2 linked regions of the Lonchura striata genome follow. The protein of the gene in region 2 purifies or fractionates together with the protein of the main gene of each other region. This does not show direct contact. Links are inferred from orthologs where the notes say so. Each region holds a gene or a part of one and is shown on either strand. Other genes may lie near its edges.

Region 1 (8,503 bases), on a different chromosome or scaffold from region 2:
TTATGTTCACTATGACTGCCTACCATGTTATCATGTTTCCTTTAATTTTTATACTTTTTCATATATTTTATACTGTGTTTCAAAGAGAACACAGTGACTGCTACAAAAACCTGACAAAAGCAGACACTGAGCTTAACTCAAGAGCTGTCAAAACAAAATCCGTTTTCTACAGTCACAAAGAAATAATCACATATTTGCAGTTTTAGAGTAAGTCCAGTGTTTCCCCCAGCTGCTTGTTTGTCAAGGTATGTTTAGCTCCAAACACAGCATCATCTCAAAAATGCAGCAATAATTTTAAGATTTACCATTTGGTCCATATGCTGTACGGGTGGTTTGAGCAAGTTCTTTGCATGCCTGAATGTTTCTGTAGACAGCTTCTTCTAGTCCTGAATAATGCTAAAGAGAAAAATGACTGATCAGAATTAGGCTAACAAAAAAAAGTGATGAACTAGTAAATTCTCATTAATGAACTAGTAAAATCTCATTAAATCAGTCTCAATTCATTGAGTCCCTCAAAGTCTTTTATTAATATACATTTGGTATTTCACATACCGTGTAAATAGACACCAAACCTTACCCAAGACAGTGAGAATTAGTACATACACCCTCTCAACTAGGTAGCTCAGTAGACACAAAAAGCTTCTAAAGAGAAAATCTGAACAGTGACCTGACTTGCAATACAATTTGCATCCCCTCAGTCTTCCAAAATGTTTTGTGACATGCCAAAAAGAAGCAGAAAATAACCAAGATCCAGTTGGAGAGGGGCAAGGGTTTCTGTACATGTTTCTTTACTTGCACCTTTGTATGCTACAAAAATAATTTAACTCATTCTCTGTTCAAAACACAGAACTGAGTTAACTGAATCTGAAAATTCAGAAGCAGAATGATTAAGTAAAATATCTGTGCTTGAGAAGGCGATCAGCCTGGCTTCAGTTTGGAAACCTTAAGACAAGATGGGGCCACTAGAAAGGACCTTAAGAAAGAAAAAGCAGGATAAAAAGCACTATGCAGTCCATAAGAGAAGGGAGAAAAGTAACAATATTTACTCTCTAAATTCATGCCAAACATCTTAGATTGCCCCCTTGTTTTGCAGAAGACAACTCTTGCTGTTCTGGCTTTGAATTTTCTAACACTGAGGCCACGCTGCTTCCCTGTTCTGCCCCTGCCCTGAACGTATGCCATTATTTGGCTCCAAGAAGGATTCTAAAACGAAACACAAAGGGCTTTCAGAACTGCTACCTTTGCTCTTCTTTCTATTAAGTAGCAACAAATGGAAAAGTTTCCTATGTTCCCTCTTTCTTGGAGAGAGGGACTTTGGACAAGAACCTGGAGAGACAAGACAATGGGCAATGGCTTCACATTGAATGAGAGTAGGTTTCTGTTAAGTGTTAGGAATCCCTGAAATTCTTCCCTGTAAGAGTGGTGAGGCTCTGGCACAGATTTCCCAGAAAAAATGCAGATACACAACCCTGGAAGTGTCCAAGACCAGGCTGGATGGGGCTTGGAACTAAATGATCTTTAAGGTCCCTTCCAAGCCAAAGTCTTCTGCTGATTCTATAAATAATAAAAAATAAATAAAACCCACACCTGCTTGCTTTCTGCCCACTTTTCAAAGAAAGCTTTTCCTTTATTAAGATACAATTCTTCACTTCTACCAAAATCTTCATTATGCTAACATCAAACACAACAAAACCGGATTTATTGGTAAGGAAATCTATAGAAAACATTGTTCTGCATCGCTGCCAAAGGTATCAGGAAAAATCAAGCAGAACGACCCGGATACTTCTGAACTGCTTCAATTACAGGGCCCGGCTGACAGTTGCTGCCCAGCCCCTGTGAGAGCTCTTGTGATGCACAGTAATAACTCCACAATCAAGGGTTGTAAAGTAGATAGGTATTTATTCAGCGCTGCACGCAGGGGGGCAAAATCTTCCCAAATCCTGTGTACCCCAGCTTCCCCAATCCCCTTATTTATACACAAAATCCATGCATATTCTATATCACCTATACATATCCAGAAACTAACCCCACCTATTCTCTGCATTATATGGAAATTAGCTGTGACTGCGTAGTTCGTTCTTTTATTAAGTCAATGGTCTCAAAAATGAGCCTGGGGTCCGGTGAGATGAAGCTTCCATAGTCTTCCTCACTATGGAACTTTCCAACTCAGATGCACAGCCGCCCTTTTGCTTCCCATCTTTAGCAAGCTCAACAATTTCCATCAGAGGCCCCCCTTCTTTTTGCATACGTTTAATAATGTTATGTGTAGTAAATATAATTCGCACCATTCCTTGTATGAAATATGTAATATTAGATACTTGTTAGATTATGCCCGTTTGTATTAGTTCCCCCCCACCTTTGCAGGCGAGACTGGGTGTATATTGGAAACTGATTTACAAGTAAAAGGATGTGGCTCGACCAGGAGATGAGCCATGTCCAGACTCCATGGGACTGCAGGTGTTTGTTGATCATCAGGTGCTGATCATCGCATAAACGGCCCAAGATGGATATCATGGAAAACCTCAGACAGATCCAGGTGAATGCAGCCTTCCCGTAAAATCTCATCGGGAATTCACCTACTCCAGACACTGAATTATTCCTCCTCATCACCAAAAAAGAAAATCTCATTAACCTATAGACTCTGAATAGAAGAAAAGACTGATTGCTGAAATCCTGGCCTCAAGCGGAATTTTCCCTATAAAACCCGCCTGTGCCAGGATGGAGGTGTGTGGGCACAGGGGAAAACCTCTGCTGAGGCTGACTCCTTGTTGCACACCCAGCGCTGACCCCGGGCTCGGCTCTGATCTTTCCTTGTGGCTGCCTAGATAGAATTTAACCGCTAATAAAATTATTTTTATTTTTAATCTGGCTGAATAAATTCTCATTTATACCAATCTGCAACAGAATCGACCTAACATACACTATATGTTCACTATATGTGATATGTTCACATTGCCTAAATCATTCTAAACTCCCTATTAAATCTCGCGTTTCACTGGGAACAACGCGGGCCCTGTCGCATCCCCGGAGGCGGCGGGATGAAGCGGCAGGGCCCGGCCCAAGGGCAGGGCGGGGAGCGGGATCCCGGCCCCGCAGAGGTTTCTGGAAGGCCGCGTGTGCCGGGCGGTCCCCGCGGGGGCCACAGAGCGGCCCCGGGCCGGGCACTGCGCGAACCCCCGGGCCCCCGCCCCGCGGGACACGTGCTGCCGCCAGGCCCCGCCGGCCTTCCGGGCCTTTCGCCGCACCGCTACCCTGAGACTCCTCCCGCACCCCCCTCCCACTTATACCCGCGCACCCACCCAACGCCGGCCTCACCTTCGCCCCCTCCTTGAGCATCTGGGCGAAGCCCGGGGCCTTGGGGACGTGCAGCGCCATCTCCGCTCGGTGCGGGGCTGCGGCGGCGGGAGCGCGCGGGGCACGGCGGGAGCTGCGCGGGCGCGGGGCGGGAGCGCGCGGGGCGGGAGCGCGCGGGGCACGGCGGGAGCTGCGCAGGCGCGGGGCGGGAGCGCGCGGGGCACGGCGGGAGCTGCGCAGGCGCGGGGGACTGCGCATGCGCGGGGCGGCCGCGCCGGGTTCGCGCCGCCCCTCAGGGCGGGCGGCGCCGGGCTCGAGCCTTCGCTCCCTCTCTCTTTCCGTGTTCCCGGCGCTTCCTTTTCCAGGAAAAGCGCCGGTTTTTTCATGGCCACCGATGATAAACGTCATAAGCTGAGCAGGCTCTAGGCGAGCGTTTCACTTTGTTGGAAAATGCGTATTTTATGATTGGCTTTTCGCAAATGTTACAATGAGTATTATGTGTGTAGTGTTAGAAAGTTATGCTGTATTAATTCTCTTAAGTACTGTGTTAAATACGGTTTTTAGGTTACAACATAATGTTAAAACAGAAATTCTGCGATATAAGATTTGTCACAAGCTCAAGCGAGAAGATGAGATGATCAAGAAACTCTTCACACAGAGATGTCAGCGAAGGGGGCCCATAAAAAGTTACAGCCTCCTTATCAGGAAAGACAAACATTCTTCCACCTTCTCTCTGTCTTTTTGGAACCACCAAGATTAAAGAGAAGAAGCTGACAAAAAACAGAAAAGTTCTTAATTTGCAAGGAATTTATACATCATGTATGAGATAGATGAATAAGCAACAGGCTATTGCTTTTAAGGTTATTCCTTTGTTCACAAGGGATGCTTTTCGTGACTTAGTGTCCAAGAGCATCCAGACTGCCGTAATTCTTTGCTTTTTATTGTCTTGTAATTGTCCTAACTCTAAATTTCATTACTCTAATTGTATTGCTATTTTTATAACCTTTTTATTATTATTAAGCTTTTAAATTTTTAAAAAACCAAGTGACTGGCGTTTTTCACAACTTAATACGTAAGGATCACAGGTTGAGATAAGAACAATTTACTGAAAACACCAATGAGTTTAGAAAGCAAGCACTAACAGCAACAATGCTTCTGACTGAGGAAATCAGCAACCCACACAGAAACCCCCCAATAGCAGACAATACCTCCCTCCACAGCACTTACTCGACTGGACTTCAGTGATCCTTGTGGGTCCCTCCCAGCTCAGGATAGTCTACAATGCTATGATTTCTGAGCTGCCCTCTTGGCACAGTGCTTTTATCAAAGCTTGTGTTGCCTGCATTTTTTAAAGCCAGAATACCACTAAAACCATAATATATATGTATGCTTGTGACTATGAATATAGACAATATCTATGTATGAAGCTGTATTGAATTAACACTAAAACATCTCTTTGTGTTACAGCCAGGATTTCTTTGGGACTCACTGTCTAATCACAACTTTGACTTGGTCTTGATCTTTTTTTAGCTATGCATCCATTTATTTTCTGCATAGACATTGACATGCTAAAGGACTATGCAAAGGTCAGAGGGTTGGCTATTGGCCGTTAGCTGCACTTTCACCACCCAAAATCTATAATTGTGCACATGGAAATCCCCGGCTTATCTGTAGGAACTTGTTTCTCAAATTCTAGGAGGGTAAAATTTTAACAAGATCTTGGGAAGTTCATAAGGAGGGCAGAATGTTAATTTTTGTTTGTTTATTCAGCTCTGGGAACCTGAGCAATGGAACAGAAGGGTTTGAAGACATCTGCTGAAGTGTGAGTAGGACAATTGTGTTTCACCAATAATACTGGCCAGTGAAAATGTGAGTGGCACCTTGAGGGAAGGCTAAGGGCCATGCTCAGTTTGCAGAGAATCATGCTTAAACCTGAAACAGAAAATTGTGAACCACATAGTGCTGAACATTCAGAATAATTCAGAATAGTAACAGTAGCAGCAGTTACTTTAGCTTTCCCCCAGATTACACTTAAGTCACTTTTAAGATGATGGGAAGGAACAGACTAATCAACTAGAGTATGTCCAATCAGCTAAGTACTACTTAGGTCATTGCTCTACAGGTCCTGGGTTAAACACTACCCTTATCCTGGGCTTCTCTCACTTGTGCAGAGGATTGTAAGCTAAACAGGAAAGCAAGATTTTCTTACCATTTGGAATTCTTACCTCAGTGTATGCTCTCTCTGCTATAGCTAATCCAGTTAGCTTGAGTCACAGGAAAGGATTTCTGGGCACTTTAGAGGAGTATTGCCTTAGCATAGAAATGTCCAAAAGACTTTTAAATGAGGCAGAGGGACATGGTTCAGTGGTGGGTGTGGCACTGCTGGGGATCAGTTGGACACAATGGTATTTGAAACCTAAACAATTCTGTAGTTCTACCTGCACAAATGACAAGAATTCAGAACTTCCACAGAACAAACAAATTGGAAAGGATGATAGTCTGAGAAAGGAATCACTGCTGTTTATATTGAGTTTGTATTGCAGGTACAATCAAGACATGTGTTGTGACACTGGTATGGTACTCAACAAAATACAATCCAAGAGCCTTTATTTCATGGGAGATGGTAAAATTGTTGAGATCATTCCTGTTTTGCTGCCATAAGAAAAAATCTTAGTTGGGAAAAAATGACATGTCCTCTAGATGGTGAGTTCTGTTTTGCTTGAGGAAATGAAATACAGCATCAGATAAGGGCTAGTGAAATACTTTTCCTAAGTTTTCAGCTTGGTCATATGGGAACTCTTATCCAGTAGAGTGCACAGAAGCCTGTAAATACCTGGAAATATATGCCTACTGCTACTGAAGGTTCAGCTGTTCATGTCGTGTGGGAAGGACTTACCAGGACCTATGTGTTGATGGAAACTTGGAGAACACCAAACTGAGGAGTGAGGGAAATAGGAGTTTTAAGTTGTAATTGGAAAATATAGGAAACAGCAGAAGAGAGGGGCAAACTTGGCATTGAATAAATGAAGACTTCTGAAGAAATAATACCCAAACAAAATAATGAAGAGTAGAATAAATAACATCTATCTGCAGCTTCTGGAAACAAGCTGCTACTACACCCAATTTGCATTTCTTTCAACTCTGAAAACACTAATCAAAAAAAAAAGGTAGCTCAAAAGGCAGGATTCTGAGCTCAAGACCACAATTTATGCTGTCTAGTGTCTGAGCCACTGACATCCGTGATCTTCTTTCTTCATTTTGTCATATTGTGACTTTGATGCCCAATTTGGAATTTTCTAAGGCTGGTCAAAACCAGTACTACATCTTCAGGATAGAGACAGAGGTTTTTCCAATGTTTAGTACTTTGTTTATCTGCCTAAATAATATTAAAGGCCTTCCCCAAGTAACTAAAAATTTTGTTTCTCATATTGTCCTCATTATGATTTGATTGACATGATTGGCTATGGGTCTCAACTCCACCTAGTTAGTCAAACTGGTATCTCTTAAGCCAAATTATCTGTGCAGCTTATAGACCCACTATAGCTGTCACACACACTGCCTAAAAAAACCTGTTATGTTGAAGACTGTACTATTTATTTTTAAAAATAAAGTGATGTATATATATATATATATATATAATCATTACAGACAGTTAACCCAAGGTATCATTTAAGTAGTGCAATACAGTTTACATATAAGGAATGAGCAGACAACATTTTCTAATATACCTTCAAAATAGGTGAATGTACCAGTGTTGTAATAAGTACAACAACAAAAAAGGTGATATCCTGCTGTTAAGCCCCAAGCTCACTGATATTAGCTAAAGGATGTCACCAGACATTGAAGTTCCAAGCTGAAGGTGACATGGTGGTGTCAGTCAAATGTTGGACTCAATGATCTTGGAGGTCAACCATATTGATTCCATGACTCAGTAGAATCAGGCAGCTTTCGTTTCAAACCCTGTACTGAGGTTAAGGTTCTTGAAACAGTAATCTAGCCATAAACAAATCTCTGCCTTTTTTCTTTTGAAGGACAATTGTCCAAACTCGTTTTTATCATCAGTATTGCTTGTCTTAGTCACTCTGCAGGCTAGGTGTTCATTGCTTATCAAAAATAGATTTTATCCATAATGTATTTAAGCATCCTTTTTCCTTTTTTCTTTTTTTTTTTTTTTAACACAGTACAGTAAAGTGACTGTTTAAATGTTTATTATGCGTCTTTATGGCCCAGGTTCTTAGTTCTGTTGACATGGGCATCAAGGAGAAGACTGAGGAGAGACCTCATCACAGTTTACAACTTCATCAAATCAAGGGGAAGTGGAGAGGCAGCACCTATCTCTTGATTTTGGTGATTGGTGAGATGACCTGAGGGAACAGCATGAAGCTGTGACAGGGAGGGTTTAGGCTGGATATTAGAAAGGTGTCTTTTCCCTGAAGTTGTGCCTCCATTATTCTAATTCTTTACAATACAGTGTAACCAGCAATTTGTCTTCAGTGTTGAATTTCTATTACTGCTGTACAAAAGAAAATGCTCTGTTCTGATGAGATTTACAAAGGATTATGAATTTGAGATCTAATAATTGTTATTACATACTAGAATCACACTCCAAGCTGAAACAAGCTGAAACAATCACACTCCAAGCTGAAAAAGTGCCATGTACAAGATTTTTACTGTTAAAATGTTTAATGATTTTACCCGCTGATGATGTAAGTTAAGTTACTAATATCAGTGTGGCTTATTCAGTTAATCTATTGTCAGATTTAGGAGTTATAATAAACTATCCCAGACCATCAATAGGGTGAAAATAAGGGAGATCTTAGAACAAGTGGGATTACCAGTTGTATGACACCATTGTATGATGTATGGTTCCAAAAGGTTAAAAATGTTCTGCAGAATTCTCAGTGGTCTAAAGAATAGATTATTTTCAGTTGGGCATGTATCTCTACTTGCCTGTGTTAGAGGATTCCAGACACATGCTTTAGATGTTTCTCCCTGAATAGAATAAAACAAGGAGTCTTTACACAGCATCTAACAGTCTCACAGAAACCTGCTGCTTTAACTTTTTGTGTCTATTTCTTGGTTTAAGGAAGCTTTCATAGGATTATGGTGAAATTTGTGAGTGGTGGTGTGAAGAGGAAGAGCAAAACCTTCTAATATGTGGGTATGCAGAACTTTAAAGAAAGGGAGTTCATCAGCAAGAAATTAGACA
Region 2 (7,318 bases):
ATATGATTTTTGACTGAATCTTTTCATTAAACATATTATCATTCATATCTAGAATAACATAATGCCAGCTTAGAATTCACAACCTAAAATATTTCGAACATGCTTTAACCAACACAGTTTGCAAGAAGTTAATGTGATTTGGAACTTAAAGCAAAGGCTCTAGATTAAGCAATCTTGTTAACAGTCCAGTACATCATTGGACATAGAGTAAAAGATGTGACTTTTCAGAAGTCCCATGTTGTTATCTGCCTAATAGTTAACATACAGCTTCTAAAGAAAATTACATCCTTAACTTCTATATTTAATTCTTGAAGCTTGTAAATGGATACACTAATATTGTTCTTCATACAACTTTTGTGAGGCTGCACTTACTGTGAGCAAAGTGCTTTGAGATTTTTAGCATGAATAAAATATATTTTGCACTTAGACATTAATTATAGAAGTAGCAATATTTGAAATAGGATTTTGTTTCAAGGCAGCAAGACTAAATCAAACATGATTATCTTGGCTTTGATTGTGATATTTCACTTACTATGCTCTATTTTCCTTGCATTTGAAATATGCAATTTTTCTTTTCTGTTATGTAAATGAATGTTTTTCATCTAACATCTATTTTTGGAAAAAAAAAATTTTCTTTCCTAGGCTAAGACAGAAATGTTGCAGAACACAGCTCTGAAGTCTAACTGACAGAGTTAGAGTACTGCAAGGTCAATGCAAGCATTCAAAAACAAAAGCAGCAAGAGATGCCCAGAACACTAACTGAACTTATTAATATGCAAATGTTTATATACACAGATATCTATCTAGATATATAAATCACACTATAATATTTAATATAGATAAACTAGTCCTTTTGTCCATCAGTTGGGTGGAAAATATAGCTAACCAATGCAGTTGCAATTAAAAGTTGTGGCCTTTCTGAAAAGTAAAAAAGAACTGGGATAAAGAGAGAAAAAAAGTCTGTGATGGAAGTCATAGGAACAATCAATTTTAAACAAAAGATTCTGTCTAGCTCTGTGTAATTTACTTTACAGGCATACTTCAGCAAAGGAAAAGGTTTGGACTTCATCCAAAAACAGTGTCAAGCAAAAGAGGTCACGTCATCTGCCACCATGGACTTCTGTTTGAGCTATTTTTCACTTCTGCAAAGTCTGCTGATTATAGTACTCTGTGTGCACTTAGATATAAGTGGCATTAATACCCAGCATGTACTCTGGAAAAATGTCATATTTATATACAGTATATTATATTTATATGCAATATCTTATATTTATATACAATATATATTGTATATATAATTTATACACAATATATATTTATATACAATATAATATATATATGTCATATTTTTATACAATATATTAACATAAACAGGGTTTACTACCTGCAGATGACTTTGATTCTACAGGTTTTGTGATCAAATGACATTGCTTCAGTTTGTTTCCTGGTCTCTGAATTTCATCTATCTCCATGGTAAGTTAAGAGAAAACATTTAAGATTCCTATTTAAGTTGGGGAATAAAATTTGGAATCCAAAAATTGGCAATATTAAAGAGAACTGAAGTTAGGGTTAGCAAAGTAATTTAAAAGAATATGCCCTGTGAAAAGAGATGACCCAATAAATCAAAGGAATAAAACACCTGTTGAGAAAAAACATTATCATCTCAAAGCAGTGCTGAAACACTGGTATTTACCCAGACAAATGAGGTTAGGAAGCATATTCTACTCATTCAAATCTTTAAATGAAAGTAAATGCCAAACTAAAGCTCATTTTCAGCATTCTGTGATGCCTAAGAAATGCTGTCACTCACTCATTACACTCCCTCACACGGATATAATTTCCACCCCCATCTATCGTCATCACATCTGGTTTGGTATGCAGTTTCACCAAAAAAAAAATCACATAGGCAAAAATAAATCACAACATCTTTTGATAAATGCTTTAGTATGCAATTGTGTGTAATTACACACACTATTAAGTGCACCTTGAAATATAGGGACACCGCTCACCATGGAATAATAGGAAGGAAAAACTTAATCCAAAACCTTGGTCAAGCTACAGCTTATTATTAGTACCCTGGGGTTTAAATAATTTCTCCAAACAGCAAAATACAAGACACAAAACTTCAAACCATAAAGGATCACGGATAATAGCTGAAGAGACACCAAACAAGTAATCTTTCTGCCTGCCCCAAGGCTTTATCTCTTCAATGTATGTTTGTGAAACAAACATTAAATATCTCAAATGAATGGGATTTCATTATCTACCTAATTCCTATATTCCAGTGTTTCCCTGTTGTCAGCCTTTCCTTAATGTTGAATCTGAAGCCAATCTACTACAGGGTTCCACCTTCCTCCGTATTGGAAAGTTTTTCAGTCTAACTCAACTTCTGATGCATTTTAAACGTTTACAAAGGGTAAATACACTCTTCTTAGAAATCCATAACCCCAGCAGACCAAAAACATCAAGATGAGGTCTTAGTTCCACTTAACTCATTGACAACAGACACTGGAAGATGCTCATGGGCACAGCACACTACACATCTGGCATCCTGGAGGACACAGGTTCACACCTAAATTCAGATATTCTGCTTGTTCAAAATCATACACAGTGTGGTATGGTTGGTATGAGAGGCTTTCCTGTCCTGACACCCGAAGACAGTTCCTCTTCTGATCACAGAACATTAATAAATAAAACTTTCCAGGTGACTTCTTTCTTCAAAGTTAAAAGTGAAAAAAGGCCAGAAAACTTTTCAGTCCACTTTGCACCAACACCCACTGACACCAAGGTCAGAAGGTCTCATGCCATCTAAGCTGCTACACGTAAAAAAAACTTCCCCCCCGCCCGCCCCCGCAAAACAAAACGAGCCAAGGCACTTTACAAGGCCTGGAACATGCAAAGCACCGGCAGATACCCCTTTGCCGGCCCACCTCCACACCTGCCCTCGGGCACACCGCTGGGGCGGCTGCCAGCAGCGAGCCCCGCTTCCCCCCGCGGCCGGCCGGGCCAGCGGGCAGGGGACGCGCCCGCTCAGCATCCCGCACTCACCTTCGGAGACCTCGAGCTCGGCCGCTCCATTGAGCTGGCAGAGGCACCAGTCAGCCGCGCTCTGGCCGGGGGAGCCGCCGGCTGGGCAGGAGGAAAGGCACAGTCAGTCGGGCACAGAGCCAGCGGGGCACAGGGCTGAGGAAGGGACAGGGAAAGTGGCGGCGAGGGGGAGAAAAGAGAGCGGGGAGGAGAGATGGAGAGGGCTGAGCAGGGAGCGGAGGATGAGAGGGGACAGCGGGTACCGGGGGAAGGAGCGCGTTTCCAGATACCCTGTTTGTGGGACATGGGTGTCGCCCTCCGGAATGCGCCCGCTGCTCTGAACTGTTCTTTGCTTTGCTCCCAGCGCCCGCGGCTCGGGGCGCCTCCTCCTCCTCCCGGCGGAGCGGGCGCAGGCAGCCTCCGCTGCCTCGGGGTGCTCGGGGAGCCGGGGGAGGGAGGCCGGGGAGGAGGCAAGGCTCCGCCCGGAGCTCCCGGCGGAGGCGGCGCAGCCTCGCCCGGGCCGGCCGCGCCCGGCAGCGCCGGCCCCGAGGCGCGGGAGAGCCGCGGGGCCGCGGAGCGAGCCGAGCCCGGCCGCGGCGGCTTCGGCGGGGTGCGGTGCCGCAGCCCGGCCTTGCCCCGGCCAGGACAGCCCTCCCTGCTGCCCGTCCCGTTCCGTGTGCGCTCCCCGTCAGGTGCCGCCCGTGGCTGCGGTGCGGGCAGCCTGGCGAGCATGGGCGCGCATCCCGGCTGCCCCCAAGCCTGGACGCGCATCCCTGGCGGGGGACACCACACAGCAGGCACCCACTGCCAGTGGCACCCACTGCCAGTGGCACCCACTGCCAGTGGCACCCACTGCCGGTGGCCCTAGTGCCGCTCAGCCTCGCCACAGCTACGTTCGCCCCATAACATTGCCCTCAGTTCTCTTACCTAGGCCACTTGGGCTATCACTGATCAAGGCCACAAATGCCACATGAACAGTTGGGTTATATATGTACTGCAAGGCTGGAGAGTGGTTTTCCTCTGGTCCACGAGCCCCTGTGAATACACAAACTGTCTTTACAGCATCCCTGAGACGTTGGTAAAGAAAGCAAACCTGCTACCAAGTAAGTCTAAAGGGCTCTGTGCAGTGACCTTTGCCTTCAGTAGGAAATGGTTTGGGAAATGGAAAATTATAAAACACTGAAACAGTCAGCTAGAGCAAATATATGTTAATAAACGCCTTTATTCTTAGAGACTTCCACCCCAAAAACATGTCAGGAGAGAAATATAAAGGTACACATTAATTGCTCTGTTCACCAGGTGACTTTCTTGATACCTAATTTAAGACAATTGTGACTCTTAGCTTGTAGTTGGCAGCATCCTGCCCACGGCTTCTGTCTTATCAAGGTAACAGTGTCAGAGGCCCACGTATGGCACAGTTTGTGTCAAAAAGAGCAGCCACACTTCATATAGGCTAATGAGAAAAGCTTAAGAAAGAAGAGAGGAAGACTATAATGAAGCCATACTATGAGATTAGGAGCCAACAAGAGGATAAAGTATCGACATAGGCGGCTATCATGGCATGACTGCACTGGCTCCTCCATCTATCTTTTTGCTGTTTGTGAAGCAGTATGTAAGTGGCAGGGAAGAATTGTTTCCTGACATACCTTTCCACCTGACATACCATTCATCCCTTCTTGCAGCAAGTAGAACCCCTCCTGATACCTTCAGGTGTATGAACTGCGGGCAGTTTGATTCACATTCTTCTCCACTCTATCCAAGACAGAGGTGCAGTGTGGCCGTTGTGAAAGGATAAGGAGGACAATTACAGTTTCTGAAGGAAATAGATTTTAAATTGGAGTAACATTCAGCAAATATTCCCAGGTACTTTTAGCAACAAAGCAAAACACTGATATTTAAGCTTTCCTGGGAACTTCACCTAAATTACAAAGATAGTATTGCCTTCTGAGGTAAAAACACCAGTGTGTTTAGACAGTGTGTGTATATATATCTTCAAGCCATATGTTTGCTGGATGTGCACTAGCATTCTCGGAATTAACATGTTTATGCTGATGATTTGAGGGGGAAAAATGTATCATAGAGCTGTATTAAAGTAAAGCTTCATCCAGCTGCTTATAGTGGTACTAACTTCCCCTAAAAGTTACCTATAGACCTTGATTATTCTTCATGACAATGTATTATTATCAAAAATAAAACTGATATTAGCATTCTAATGTTAGCCTCTTATTTTCACAGAAAACTCTAAAACTCTTTGAAATAGCAAACAAAGGCCCTGTTCTGGGAGAATATATTCATATTAGATTTAAGTTTTATGGAATGTGGCCATTTTATTGCGTTCAACTCATTACTACTGATTTACATAAAGCGTTTTCCTTTCCATCTTCAATTATTTACAACAATTATTTAAAACTTTATATGTTAAAAAAAAACCCACCAAGTTTGGTATGTAAAGCAGCACATGTTTTTTTCTTTCTAGAATGACGAGATCAATACAAATTATGTGATCCTTTTTTACAGGTGTCTTGAGTATTGAGGTGGTTTAATTTGCACTAGGAGCCAGCTAGTCTGGCAGATGGACACTACTAAGCTATTTGTGATTGTTTCCTTCAATCACAGAGTGATGACTGGTTTAACTAGGTTTGGGATGTAATGCGTAATGCTAAATCCATACCAAACTTGAAGGTGGGAGCAGTTACCCTTCTCCATGTGATGTTCTATACTTTTGCACTGTTGGAAATGAGCGAGGACTTTGATATGACATTTTGTGTCATTTCAGAATTGCATTGTTGTTAAAAGTATGTGATTTAGTCAAACTAAAACTTAAGGAAAGTAGTTGATCTATACTATAGTGTATGTTTTTTAAAGAATCCAAGTTTAAAGAAATATAGTTTTATGTGTTTTGGCTTTCTATGTCACAATGATTTAATAGGCAGAAAGTGGTGCATCTGCTTACAAAAAAACTTCTGAGGAGACTGGACTACACTATGCGACAATATTTTTTGTTTGGGTTTGGATTTTTTCCTTTTTCACTAGGACTTTATGCAGTTCAAACAGAAGTGTTTACCTTTCCAGTCCTCAGCACAGGGTCCACCTGTTCCTAGCAGGAATCAGAAGGTCAACCACATAAAATTTAACCCTTCTTCAATTCCAAAACTTCAGAGATGCAGACAATAAGCCGTAATGAAGTACCATACCACGAAACAAAATTTCCTTTCAATTCAAAGGAAAACAAGAAATATTTATAGATGTCCAAGATGCAGAACTCAGCTTCTCCCCGAGCAGCCCAGCGTTACCCAAATTCCAGATACCCGAACTGGGTCCGGAATTCCCGCACAGGGGCGGCGCTTTCCGCCCGCCGCGCACCCGCAGCGCCGCTCGGGGCGCGGGCGGAGTCACCCCTCGGGCCTCGGAGCCTCCCGCTCCCCAGGAGACTCCTGCCCCTTCTTTTATTTATTTATTTGATTCCGGGCGGGGAGGCGGTGCCGCGGGACGCGGAAGTGCGGCGGGAGCGCCGCAGCGGCCATGGCTGCCCCGCGCATCCCGCTGCTCCCGCTGCTCCCGCTGCTCGCCCTCCTGCCGCGGGCCGGCGGCGAGCTGCGCGCCTTCGTGGTGGCCCACAGCCACATGGACGTCGGCTGGATTTACACGGTGCAGGTCGGCGGGGGCGCCGCACGGGCGGGGGAGGATGGCTGCGGCCGGGGCTGAGCCCGCAGGCAGGGCTGCCCGGAGCCGTGTAACGGGGCCGGGCGCGCCGCCGGCTCCCGGGGCGCGCCGCCGGCTCCCGGGGCGCGCCGCCGGCTCCCGGGGCGCGCCGCCGGCTCCCGGGGCGCGCCGCCGGCTCCCGGGGCGCGCCGCCGGCTCCCGGGGCGCGCCGCCGGCTCCCGGGGCGCGCCGCCGGCTCCCGGGGCGCGCCGCCGGCGGAGGCAGGCGCAGATCTTGGCCCGTGCAGCTCCTGCGCCGTGTCCGGCCTGGTGTGTCCGCCATCCCCCGGTGTTTCGGGATCCTCCGTCGGAGGAGGCGTGCTCAGCCTAGGAGCCCTGCCCTTGAGCTGTGGGTTTGTGTGTGCCTGTGTTCAGCAGGATACTCCTGATGGGGTTTTTTCTAAGGAAAGGCTTAATTCTGTGTGATGGAGCTTTGCTTATGTGGCAGATTTTCATGGTCTTTATGTTTATCTTGTTACAAAGCCAAAACCCCAGGGAAACCTTCTGTCATTTCTTAAGAGAGGAGAGCAAGATCCCAGGTCCTCGATGGCTGGGGTGAGGTTGGAGCCTAGCCTCTGAAGTACAGTAGC

The links. The genes of interacting proteins can lie anywhere in the genome.
Region 1: the proteins of PPP2R2C (region 2) and CCT8 purify together in Homo sapiens (affinity purification with mass spectrometry; 3 studies listed by BioGRID and IntAct, with this or other methods). This does not show direct contact. The link is inferred for Lonchura striata from reciprocal best matches to the Homo sapiens genes PPP2R2C and CCT8.

What each region holds. Positions count from the first base shown.
Region 1 is NC_134604.1:4,124,125-4,132,627, forward strand, and holds the start of CCT8 (T-complex protein 1 subunit theta), read right to left. Parts: upstream 3,472-8,503; 5' UTR 3,376-3,471; coding exon 3,316-3,375; intron 397-3,315; coding exon 306-396; intron 1-305. UniProt on the Homo sapiens protein: Component of the chaperonin-containing T-complex (TRiC), a molecular chaperone complex that assists the folding of actin, tubulin and other proteins upon ATP hydrolysis.
Region 2 is NC_134606.1:12,004,825-12,012,142, reverse strand, and holds the start of PPP2R2C (protein phosphatase 2, regulatory subunit B, gamma), read right to left. Parts: upstream 3,465-7,318; 5' UTR 3,334-3,464; coding exon 3,291-3,333; intron 3,130-3,290; coding exon 3,049-3,129; intron 1-3,048. Other genes in the region: MAN2B2 (epididymis-specific alpha-mannosidase), read left to right, coding at 6,550-6,681. UniProt on the Homo sapiens protein: The B regulatory subunit might modulate substrate selectivity and catalytic activity, and might also direct the localization of the catalytic enzyme to a particular subcellular compartment.